2 linked regions of the Arabidopsis thaliana genome follow. The protein of the gene in region 2 interacts with the protein of the main gene of each other region in a pairwise test. Each region holds a gene or a part of one and is shown on either strand. Other genes may lie near its edges.

What was found. Proteins that work in one complex are often made in the same cells at the same time.
Region 1: the proteins of EER5 (region 2) and SAC3B interact in a two-hybrid assay, tested with the Arabidopsis thaliana proteins (one study listed by BioGRID).

What each region holds. Positions count from the first base shown.
Region 1 is NC_003074.8:1,904,293-1,909,144, forward strand, and holds the start of SAC3B (SAC3/GANP/Nin1/mts3/eIF-3 p25 family), read right to left. Parts: upstream 3,006-4,852; coding exon 2,917-3,005; intron 2,622-2,916; coding exon 2,487-2,621; intron 2,335-2,486; coding exon 2,242-2,334; intron 2,071-2,241; coding exon 1,978-2,070; intron 1,759-1,977; coding exon 1,666-1,758; intron 1,406-1,665; exon of another isoform or gene 1,364-1,405; coding exon 1,199-1,363; intron 899-1,198; coding exon 776-898; intron 531-775; coding exon 318-530; intron 1-317. Other genes in the region: P4H2 (P4H), read left to right, coding at 3,452-3,588, 3,684-3,741, 3,849-3,953, 4,413-4,470, 4,620-4,795. UniProt on the Arabidopsis thaliana protein: Component of the TREX-2 complex (transcription and export complex 2), a muliprotein complex that functions in docking export-competent ribonucleoprotein particles (mRNPs) to the nuclear entrance of the nuclear pore complex (nuclear basket).
Region 2 is NC_003071.7:8,465,161-8,470,774, forward strand, and holds EER5 (proteasome family protein), read right to left. Parts: upstream 3,986-5,614; 5' UTR 3,910-3,985; coding exon 3,742-3,909; intron 3,138-3,741; coding exon 3,001-3,137; intron 2,912-3,000; exon of another isoform or gene 2,891-2,911; coding exon of another isoform or gene 2,883-2,890; coding exon 2,789-2,882; intron 2,683-2,788; coding exon 2,593-2,682; intron 2,494-2,592; coding exon 2,428-2,493; intron 2,341-2,427; coding exon 2,251-2,340; intron 2,162-2,250; coding exon 2,105-2,161; intron 2,005-2,104; coding exon 1,943-2,004; intron 1,861-1,942; coding exon 1,773-1,860; intron 1,660-1,772; coding exon 1,583-1,659; intron 1,248-1,582; coding exon 1,173-1,247; intron 1,101-1,172; coding exon 995-1,100; intron 896-994; coding exon 764-895; 3' UTR 530-763; downstream 1-529. Other genes in the region: AT2G19550 (alpha/beta-Hydrolases superfamily protein), read right to left, coding at 1-371; CDA1 (cytidine deaminase 1), read right to left, coding at 5,438-5,614. UniProt on the Arabidopsis thaliana protein: Involved in the regulation of ethylene response. Probable TREX-2 component required for nuclear RNA export.

The DNA.
Region 1 (4,852 bases), on a different chromosome or scaffold from region 2:
ATCAAACCAGATAGAGAAAAGTAGATTTGTTGCAATAGCATTAAGATAAAGCTGCAGGAGAAGTAAGCATGACTTCAAAGGCTAGTAGCAGAAAAATTTCCAAGCAACCATCTAAGTTTAAGGTGAATACGCTCATAAGCCGATTTGCTAAAGATAAAGTTTCTTAAGCCGATTTGCTAACGATAAAGTTTCTTAGGATTGTAACTCTATTCTATAATCGTGATTTCTCCTGCCATTCATACGTACACGTATGGCACAGAGTGGGTGAATAAAACATAATAAGCTTTAGAATGTACGATGAGATTCATGCTGTCTACCTTTGAGAGTCATGTTGAGACAATATGGGGTCATCTCCAAGGGGTTTATCAGAAGGTGCTACAGCCGAAGACTTTCTTCTAGTAGCTTCCTGAATTTCAGCTACTTCATGTGCATAGGGGAATGACGAGTTTCCGGTTTGTTCTTGATGAATCAACTGATTGGGATTGCTCCTCGACCTCACCGGATTATTCTCCGCAGAAGACGGAGAGCGCCTACACAAACATGAGAAAAGGTTCCAGGAAATAAGTTTCAAAAGTTAGTGAGAGGATAGAACAATAAATTAGTATAAAGATCAAGGAGCAAAGACACAGGTATGGTTCAAATCATTATCCACAAAGAGTAAAGACACCACAAAATGAAATATTTTATGACCTTTTTAAAACCAATCAAAACCAACAGCGAAAAGAGAATGAGAAACGAAAACATTATGACACTGACAAGAGGATAAAAAGCTCACATCCAAGTTCGGCTAGAAAGTGGCTGAAAACCATCTACCAAGTTTCCATTCTCAAAACCTGATACTGGCGATTGATTTCTTCGAGAAAACCCCATATTCTGGTCAGGAAGAATATCTGACCGACTGCAACAAAAATTGAGAATTTTATAGACCGATATTAGTTACATCAAAAAAACCAGGATATCAGTAAACACCATGGCCATGTCTATGACATCTCATTCATACCACCTAGGCCACACAACAAACTGATAAAATCTGAAAGAGTAAGATACATGATGCAGAACAAGGAAGGTGTAAACTCCCACAAGGACAGATGTTAAAAGGTTAAGGATAAGATAGGGATACAAAACAGACAGAATGTTTATTTCAGAAAGATCCTGCTGGCATAAATGACCTTGATCTAAAGGAAATGGCATAAACGACCTTTTTCTTTTTGAATCTTGTGATCGACCAATCTCAACAGCATCAGTTCCCATTCTGGAAAGAATGTGAGATGTAGCAGGTGGAGACGTGGCTCGACTATGTTCACCATGATCTTTCAAGAAATTCCTTGATCCATCGTGCCCATATTGAGGATTTAAATTAGGCCTGTGAGGAAAAATGAAGCAGGTAAATTCAGCTAAGTCGTTAAGAAAAATCCAGCAGCTTGCTTATTAAAGGCTATAAGCCAAATCCAGCGATAATGATCTCTTTAGAGCTTCAAAGCCGCTGCCATAGTAAGCCCTTATGTATTAGGCAGAGAAACTTATAGCACTCCGCCACACTCTACTTTCTTCCTACTGCTATAATTTCAATTGCAGAAACTGAAAGCATTTGAGATGTGTGATTAACACAGCCGCATATGAGTAATGACACTCTTCTTAGTCAAAATATGTCACGTACACTTTTACCTCTGAACTCCAGGAAATTGGTAAGGTCTCACAGAGGGGCTTGTACGTGAAGCTTCTGGACCCCATGCTATTCCATTGAAAGGTTCTGGGATCCTGAAAAACATAGCATCAAAGTGTTCTTATAACTTTCTCGGCGTAAAAATTAGTGCAACATATAGAAGATTCAAGCAGAAGTTTTACAAAAAGAATCAAAGCCAAAGAAAACAGAAAATTTGGTTTATCCCATCTTCACTGTTTTGGGTTCCCGAAGATCCTTTACAGGTATAAGGAGTGAAAAAAAAAAAAGAGAGCCATAATAGTAAGTTATCTGACCTTTGAATTCCACCAGGTTGGTAAGGTTGTCCTGAGGAGGGTGATGGATTTTGAAAAGCCGACGGAGATGGTATTCTATTAATTGGAGGAACACTGCAAGCAAAAACCATAATAACTTAGGCTAGAATCTAAAGAAGAAGAAAACCCGAGAGTAGACTGAAAAATTAATAATTGAATAAGTAACCAACCTAACATCATCATTAGACACATAGAACTGAAAGAGAAAAGGAATAAAAGCAAGCCATACGATTAAGAATGTCTAACCTTTGAACCCCACCTGGTCGGTAAGGTTTCCCTATAGAGAGCTGAGGGTTTTGAGAAGCCGACAGAGGTGGTGCTCGCTGAATTGAAGGACCACTACAAGCCAAAGTTACGAAAGAAAACTGAGCGAATTTACGAAAGAAAACTACAACAAGTAGCACAATAGGCTCTTCCTATGGAGGCTCAGAAACAACCTAACATACTCGCATAGAAAGAAATCAAAGCTGTAGAGCTAAGGTTAATCTAACCTTCGAATTCCACCAGGTCCAAAAGATTGTCCTGCAAAGGCTGAATGGTTTTGAGACGCCGGTGGTTGAATTGATGAATCACTACAAGCAAATCCAACATTCGCAGTGTGTAAGAATAAAAAAGAAAGGTACAATCTAAGAACAAAAAGCAAAGTAAAGCAACTCGCAGCTTCTCCTAAGGAAGATGAAGAAGCAAAACCCGACTGCCTAAGTGATATAGAACACAATATCATAGAAAATTCAAGATACTTCTCTCATTCTCATGATCCTAAACACTTTAATACAACGATAGCATATATGTAAATTTGACAGTTCAAAAAAATCTCTGAGTATAATAGATCCATAGCGTGAAATGAATCCTAAAAATCTCAAAACTCGAAGAAAAGTCCGATTGAAGCATAGATACATCTATAGAGAATGAAGAGCACACCTAGTGGTTGAAGAAGCACCGAACGGTGTAAACGGCGCTGGCTTAGAGCTCATCGGACCTAAGTCCTTCCCGAAAGGCCTAAACGCCATTCTCTGAGAAAATTCCTTGACTTGATTATCGCTGCCTCTCTTCTAATTCTCCTTCAACCTTCGTTTAATTACGTCGCCGGCTAAAGTCGAAACCGGAGCAAATTGAATTTTCTGTTCTGGTGACGCCTCTTCCGTCCGGCGAGGATTATTTTACGTTTAAAACCAACGACGTCGTTTTTATTTCCGAATTTTATGTTGGGCCTTTTAAGTAACAATAGGCTTATTATGGGCTTTGGTCAAGGAACAAGAATAATTGTTCAACCAAGAAGAACGTGCGCATGTTGTCACCATCTCCCTTGAGCCTCCTTGTTTTAGGTAGAACATCAACTTTTCATGACCGTTGACATTTTTTTTCCCTCTTTATTTTCCGAGAAAAAATAAATAAAATTATCCTCTAGTTTTCGATCTCGATCATCTGGATCCAAGAAATTACTACGATTGCTATAATGTCGATGTCTCGGCTCGGATTGTTGTTGTTCGTCGCTATATTGCTCGTCTTGCTTCAGTCTTCCACTTGTCTGATTAGTTCTCCAAGTTCTATCATCAATCCTTCTAAAGTCAAACAGGTTTCGTCGAAGCCCAGGTTTGATTTTACTCTTTCTCTTGTCTATTTAGTGAGAAATGAAGCAAATTTGGAAACTTTGAACCTCCAACTGTGTGTATTGACTGTTTCTTCAGGGCATTTGTGTATGAAGGTTTTTTGACGGACTTGGAATGTGATCATCTAATCTCTCTTGTGAGTGCGAATTTTGCTCTTTGGGTTTGAGCTCAAATTTGGAAACTTTTTGGCTTAAATGTGCTAGTTTCAGTATCTAATTTTGGTTTTTTTTTTTTTGGGGAAAGGCGAAAGAGAATCTGCAGAGATCTGCGGTTGCTGATAACGATAATGGCGAGAGTCAAGTCAGTGATGTTCGTACCAGCTCCGGCACTTTTATCTCCAAAGGAAAGGTGCAATTTTAATTCGGCACATCAGATCTCATTGAATGGCTTGATTGGAATTGATCTTGATTCTAATTTATGACACTCGACCTCAAGAACTCTGAATCTCTGATGTGATTTCTGATACTAATGGATCTGATAAGTCAAACCCCTCAAGATCTGATGGAAATAGAAATTTTAGAATAATTCAATCCAAAAGTTCACACACATATTGAACTGGTCATCAGAGTTTGATAAAATGATGTTGATAAGTCGAGATCTTAGTAAATTGACCCCAAATTGTGTTGATTTGTGATTGTTGTTTACTACTAAAAAGGTTTTAGGGTGATAGCTAGACATAAATTTACTTCTGTGTATGGATGAAGGATGATGAATGATACTTAGTGATTATTAGGAACAGATTTGAGAAATTTAGATATCTCAGTGTGATTACAATCTTAATGTGAAGCTTCGTTTGTTTAATGACAGGATCCTATTGTTTCCGGTATCGAGGACAAGCTCTCAACATGGACATTTCTCCCAAAAGGTAACTTTAACAATCTGAATGGTTTTTCAATAGTGGTCTCTCTGTTTCACAATGTCAATTGACAAGGAACCTTAACTGTTGTTGAGTTTCTTGAAAGGGTTTTTCAGAAGATATTATTGTTTCCTAAGTTCTTCACTTTGTGGTCACAGAAAACGGGGAAGACCTTCAGGTATTGAGATATGAGCACGGTCAGAAATATGATGCTCACTTTGACTACTTCCACGACAAAGTCAACATTGCCCGTGGTGGACACCGCATAGCAACGGTTCTCTTGTATCTGTCCAATGTCACAAAGGGTGGAGAAACTGTTTTCCCCGATGCACAGGTTTGTTGTTTTTCAGACAATACCACCAATTTCCGCTTACATTTCCACAATTGCTAA
Region 2 (5,614 bases):
GGAAACTTGGAAGCATAGAGAAGAACGACATCACCACCTTTACTATGACCAAGAATGACAGGAACTAGACGGTTCATGATGTTAGAGGAGGACAAGTGTTGAATAACGTAATGCAGATCATCCTCTGCTTCACTGTTGAAGTTACCATAATAGAAAGTTCCTTCACTATCTCCGTTACCAGAGAAATCGAAACGAAAAGAGCTGATTTTTTCTTTCTCCAAAGCTGTAGCCACGTTTTTGAGAATCTTGTTGGTCTTGTCCGATCTAAAGCCATGGCATAAGACCACAACTTCTTTTGATCCAGTTTCGTGAAGCAGACCCACGAGCTTCTCGTTGCGGCGGTTCGGAATCACGATCTTCGTTGGCTTCATCGTCTTTTTGCTTCAGGTGGTAATCGTAGAGAAGAAAACAATGAGGCCCCCTATTGATGTAAAAAGAATAAGGTAATGGAAGTATGGAACTGGAACTCTCGCCAAAGATCAAATTGCATTTTTCTGTGGAGATACGAATGAGACTCGTAATCACTTTTTCTTTTTTTTGCTAAACTAAAACTCGTAATCACTTATTCTTCTCATGTCGATATTCAGTGGAAATTTGGACCTTACTCGTAAGTAGACTCCTCAACCATGGTGAAAACTCCACAGTTTTAAAGTCACATTTCTATTGTAAAAACAGTTTTTGTTTTTTGTTTGAATGAATTTTACACACAATTAGAAAATAAAAAGTGTTTGTTGATACAACAAAAAAAATAACACGTGAAGACTTATGAGCTAACAGGCTTCCCGTTTAGTTTAGGGAAAGGATCTTGCTTGCTTAGAACTACCACTTTGCTCTTGTGAGCTAAATAACCTTTCACAAGGTTTTTGTATATCAATATCGTCATTATACATTCCACCTGCAAATACAGTATTATTTTGACAACTGTGAGTTTATAGAAGATTTCAATTTTAGAAGAAGTCAAAAGCAATGAATGGGATGGTATTGTAGAACAAACCTCGTCCAGATCCATGTCCATATCTAGCCATCTTAGTGCTTTGGCAATCCCTTCAAGCTTCAGCTGGTGAGCTCTCGCTGGATCACTCAGCTTCTGGTTTATATAACTGAAACATTGATAATAATAAGAGTTATAAACTCAAGAATCTTGGATGGTATCATAGCTTGTCTTTGCTTACATTTTCTTCATGAGTCTCTGGTAGACTTGGAGCTCTAGCTTTTCCAAGACAAGATACACACCCGACCTCAAGAACCTGTATAAAAGAAGAGTATTAGATCGAGATATTAAGTTGTTCGGTGATAGAATCAAAATACTCATCATATAGAGACTTGCACAACTCTACTCTCGACCCAACTGCAAATCCTAACCCCTAGACAAATCCAGAACATCCCAACTCTTTCTGCCCCAATTTTCTTTTAACCTGTTAGCTCTCTACCTAAGAACCAGGTGTTACTGACCTGTCAGCAGAGCTATATAATCCACTACAAGCAGCCTATACTAATTCCAATACTCATGCTCTAGAGTATCCACAAGGACTCTATCATTTGGATTAGATGAGAAAAGCAAGATATCGAAAGAAATACATACCGATCTTCATGTTCTTGAAGAGCATGCCGGAGAAGCCTTAGATCACCCTTTCTCAGAGCTTGCACAATCTTTGTGTACTGGACACGTAGAGAAATAGGATTAAGAGAGATATGATATCACTCAGCAGATGCGAAATAAGTTTTGACATAGATTCGAAGAAAATTTTATAGAACAACAGAAAAGTCGTTACCTCATGCAGATTATAATTTCGCAGGAGCTCATCTTTTGGTATAATTCCTAAAGAAAGCTTCACCGGTACCAAATACTTTAATATCATCCTGATTCACATAAGGCCACATTAGCTGATTAAGCAACGCAATGCAAGAGTAAGGTAATCACAGAGTAAAACCAGAATCAGACCTTATATTTCGTTCTCTTTTGGGGTTGCAATTTTGCAAGGCATATGATAGCTTTGTATCAGCCTGCAAGATCCAAAAAAAGAGATTAAATGTTACTATCAATATTTGGATTGACACTACGAAATGAACTGTGATGGTAAGAAAAAATCTCTTAGTGACTCACAGCAGGAAAATTTTCGTTGAAGACTTCTAATCGGCCGGTATAATACATGTATGTAACCTGGTGTTTGCGAAGAATAAACAGAAGATAATAAGTAACCGAATAAGGAGGCCAAAAACTAAAACTGTTTGCAGAGAACTGCGCCAGACCTTATCTCTTCTTGGAAACTCCTCAAAGTCAAATATCCGAGCAGTTTCGATACTTCTTATTACACTTCGACAAAGATTGACGGTTCCAAGCTAAAATACAAAATTGGGGATACCTGTTTAGTACTCCATTTAATGGTTAAATCATAAATATCAAACTGTTGCCAGAAAGCATATCACCTTAAAGTAGGTCTTGAACAATTGGCAAGTCACATATAATGCTCCGACTCGTTTTGGACCTTTCCCCTATAGTTTAAAACTACATAAGGAGCCGGAAAAAATATTGAACACAAATATAAACTAATATTCCTGAAGATATATAGATAGATCAAAGGGAAAACTTACAGCAAGAACTCCAAAAACTTTCATGAGAAGAGACCCAGCTGCTTTTAATTTCTCTGGAGACTTTCCATTAGAAGTTAAATCTTTATCAGCCTGCAATTCCATGTGGAAAAATCATGCTTTCAGAACTGACTCCTCGACACAATGAAACCAGACAAGGTTAAGATTTTGAAAAAGGGATATACAAATGAGATACTACCTTTTCCGCAAGAACTCGAATTTCATAACAAACTACATACAGAGCTTCCAATGCCCAAGCAGATTCCCAATTACGAAACTCCTGAACAAATGCACTGCACATATAGAATCCATCAGATATCAGACATTGTGAACAGACAAAAAAAAAAGCTTATCACCCTGAAATCATATTAGACATCAATAGAGGAGCAGAGAGGAACAAGAAGACTTTACTTGGCAAACTTATCGAAAGCAAGGTATGCTTCGACTAGATTCCCAACTCGGTAACTTTGTAGAGAACGAAACACATGAGCCAGAATCTCGCCATATTCAGAGAATCTATCAGACTGTCTAATCAAACTGCTAGAATCCTGTATCAGTCAAAGAAAAGAAAACTCAAAGGATTCAGCACTTTCACAGCTCTCTACATATAAATAAAAACCCTAAATCTAAAATCCATACTCATAAACTCAAACATAGACATAGAGTGTTCACTACAACAACTCAATAGGAGACACTTTCACGGCCTAAATTCATACTCATTGGTGAAGCAGGAGGACCCAATTGGAAAATCATACTCATTAGTGAAGTAGGAGGATCCTAGATTGACATTGATTGAACCTAAAAGATACACACTTTGCTAACATAAAGATAATGTTCCTAGTGTTTTGAGCCCTAAATTCAGAAATTCATACTCATTGGTGAAGTAGGAGGACCCAATTAGAAAATCATACTCTTAAGGATCTTACATTGAATCGATTTAACCTAAAAGTTACAAACTTTGCTAACATAAAAACCATGCTCCTAGTGTTCACAATTCATACGAGAACCCAATCGGAACATATCAGAAGCATCCTGGATTTGAAATCGAACCTAACTTTACCAATTTACAAGGATCATGCCACTAATCACAGGAACATACTCCAAGCTGCTAATTTGAATCATGGGTCTCGATTTAACAGAGAATATATGTACCTGGAAGACGTTGAGTGCGTCGGCGAGTGAGAGAAGAGGTGGAGAATTGGAAGAGAAAGAGAGGAGACGGCAAAGTGTAGAAGAGTCTTGGTACGAAACGGCGTCGCAGAATCGGTTTAGGTATTCAGTGATTCTCCGGTGAGCTTCACCCATACTAACGTACGCCATTGTCACCTTCTTCGTCTGCGTCTTCCTTATTCTTTGAGAGAGACACGAAATCAAATAAGTCGCCAGGAAAAAAAAGGAAATAACGGAGTTGAGAAAAACGACGGCGTTTGGTAATTAACTAAATTGTTACTACGTACTAGTCTTTTCTGGTATTAGACTTATTGACATATGTTAGTTGGGCCATTTAAGGCCCATATGAAATACAATCATTAAAATGTTTGAAAATTTATTTGTAAAGGATTTGAAAATATCATTAGTGTTGGAAGGATTTTAAAGTTCCTGTAATCGGTGGTACTGATCATGAATTTTTTTTAGAGTTTTTAAGTTCATATAATCGTTTTATAGATCATGATTAATTTGCTTTAAGGTTTTTTAAGTTCATGTAATCGTCCGTAATGTTGACATCTGTATGTAAATATGTCTTCTTAGCCCGATGGTGACGTGAGGAACTTTCTTGAAGGGACATGAAATCAATTTATACCATGCATATAACTCAACAAGTTGCCAAAAACTCGAAGAAATGAATATAATCAACTTGTCAAAAGTAATTAACTGATCAAATAAATCACTTGTTTCCAAATGTGATTTATACTTTCACACTTCTATATATTCCCATTGATATTCCCCTTCTTTCATAGTTAGCAAAGGCCTCTACTACATGTACATGATAAATAAATAAATAAAAATCACGCTAATCATATAATTATCAATATATTTTATTCTTGAACACACAATTAATAGAAATTTTGAGTTGAGAGAAGTCAATCCAGGATTAGTATTTATGTGTAATGCTAAAAGTTGAAGATAACGAGAAACTTGAGAGGTTTTTAAGGTTCCTACTTTATTTTTGGTATGAAGGTTCCTACTAAAATATGCTCTTATATATCATTTTATTTAAAAAGCATTCCATTTGAAACTAATCTAAAAATCTTTAGATTCATTGTTCACCACTCATAGTAAGAGTTGCATGTGGACCATCTTATATTCTCTACTTTCTCATACTTCGTATTTGGAACCTTTATTCCAACAAATTCAATGTGTAAAGCCATCATTACGTTCATTTATTTTTGCCTTTTTGCGTACATAAAAGAAACATCATAACTTGACATGTAAAAAAAAAAATCATTGATTCGATTTGAGACTTTTGAAAACCTTGTCAATTTTATAAAATTTGGCCGATTTGATCTAATCCACATAATCCATCCCTTATAGACGAAATTAAATTTTCAAAGGGGATATTAAAAAAAAATATCAAAAAATGGAAAAATTTAATATCAACAATTTTTTTTTTAACAATACTCCATAAACATAATAATTGTATTAAATTTAATTTTTTAATACAATAAACATTTTTAACAAATTTAAAAATATAAACTTTTCTTATTCTCTATGTGTTATCCATCACATCAATTTCAACACTTTTTTTTTTTCCGTCAATTTCAACACTTTTAAGAATTAAAAAGTCTCATTTTCTTTTTATTCCTTTTTTTTTAAAATTCCTTTATTTTTCGGATAATTAAATGATTCTCTAAGCTTCATAGCAATGAAACACTTTGAATTCGCATTTCGGCGATATAGTCTCTAATAACAACCTCGCCGTGTGCTCTTGCCTCACCACCGCATCTTCTTTCTCCACCAGAACCGCTCCGACGATCCTCTCGTATCCTCCTCCACCACCATTAGCCACATAATCAACCAACGCCGC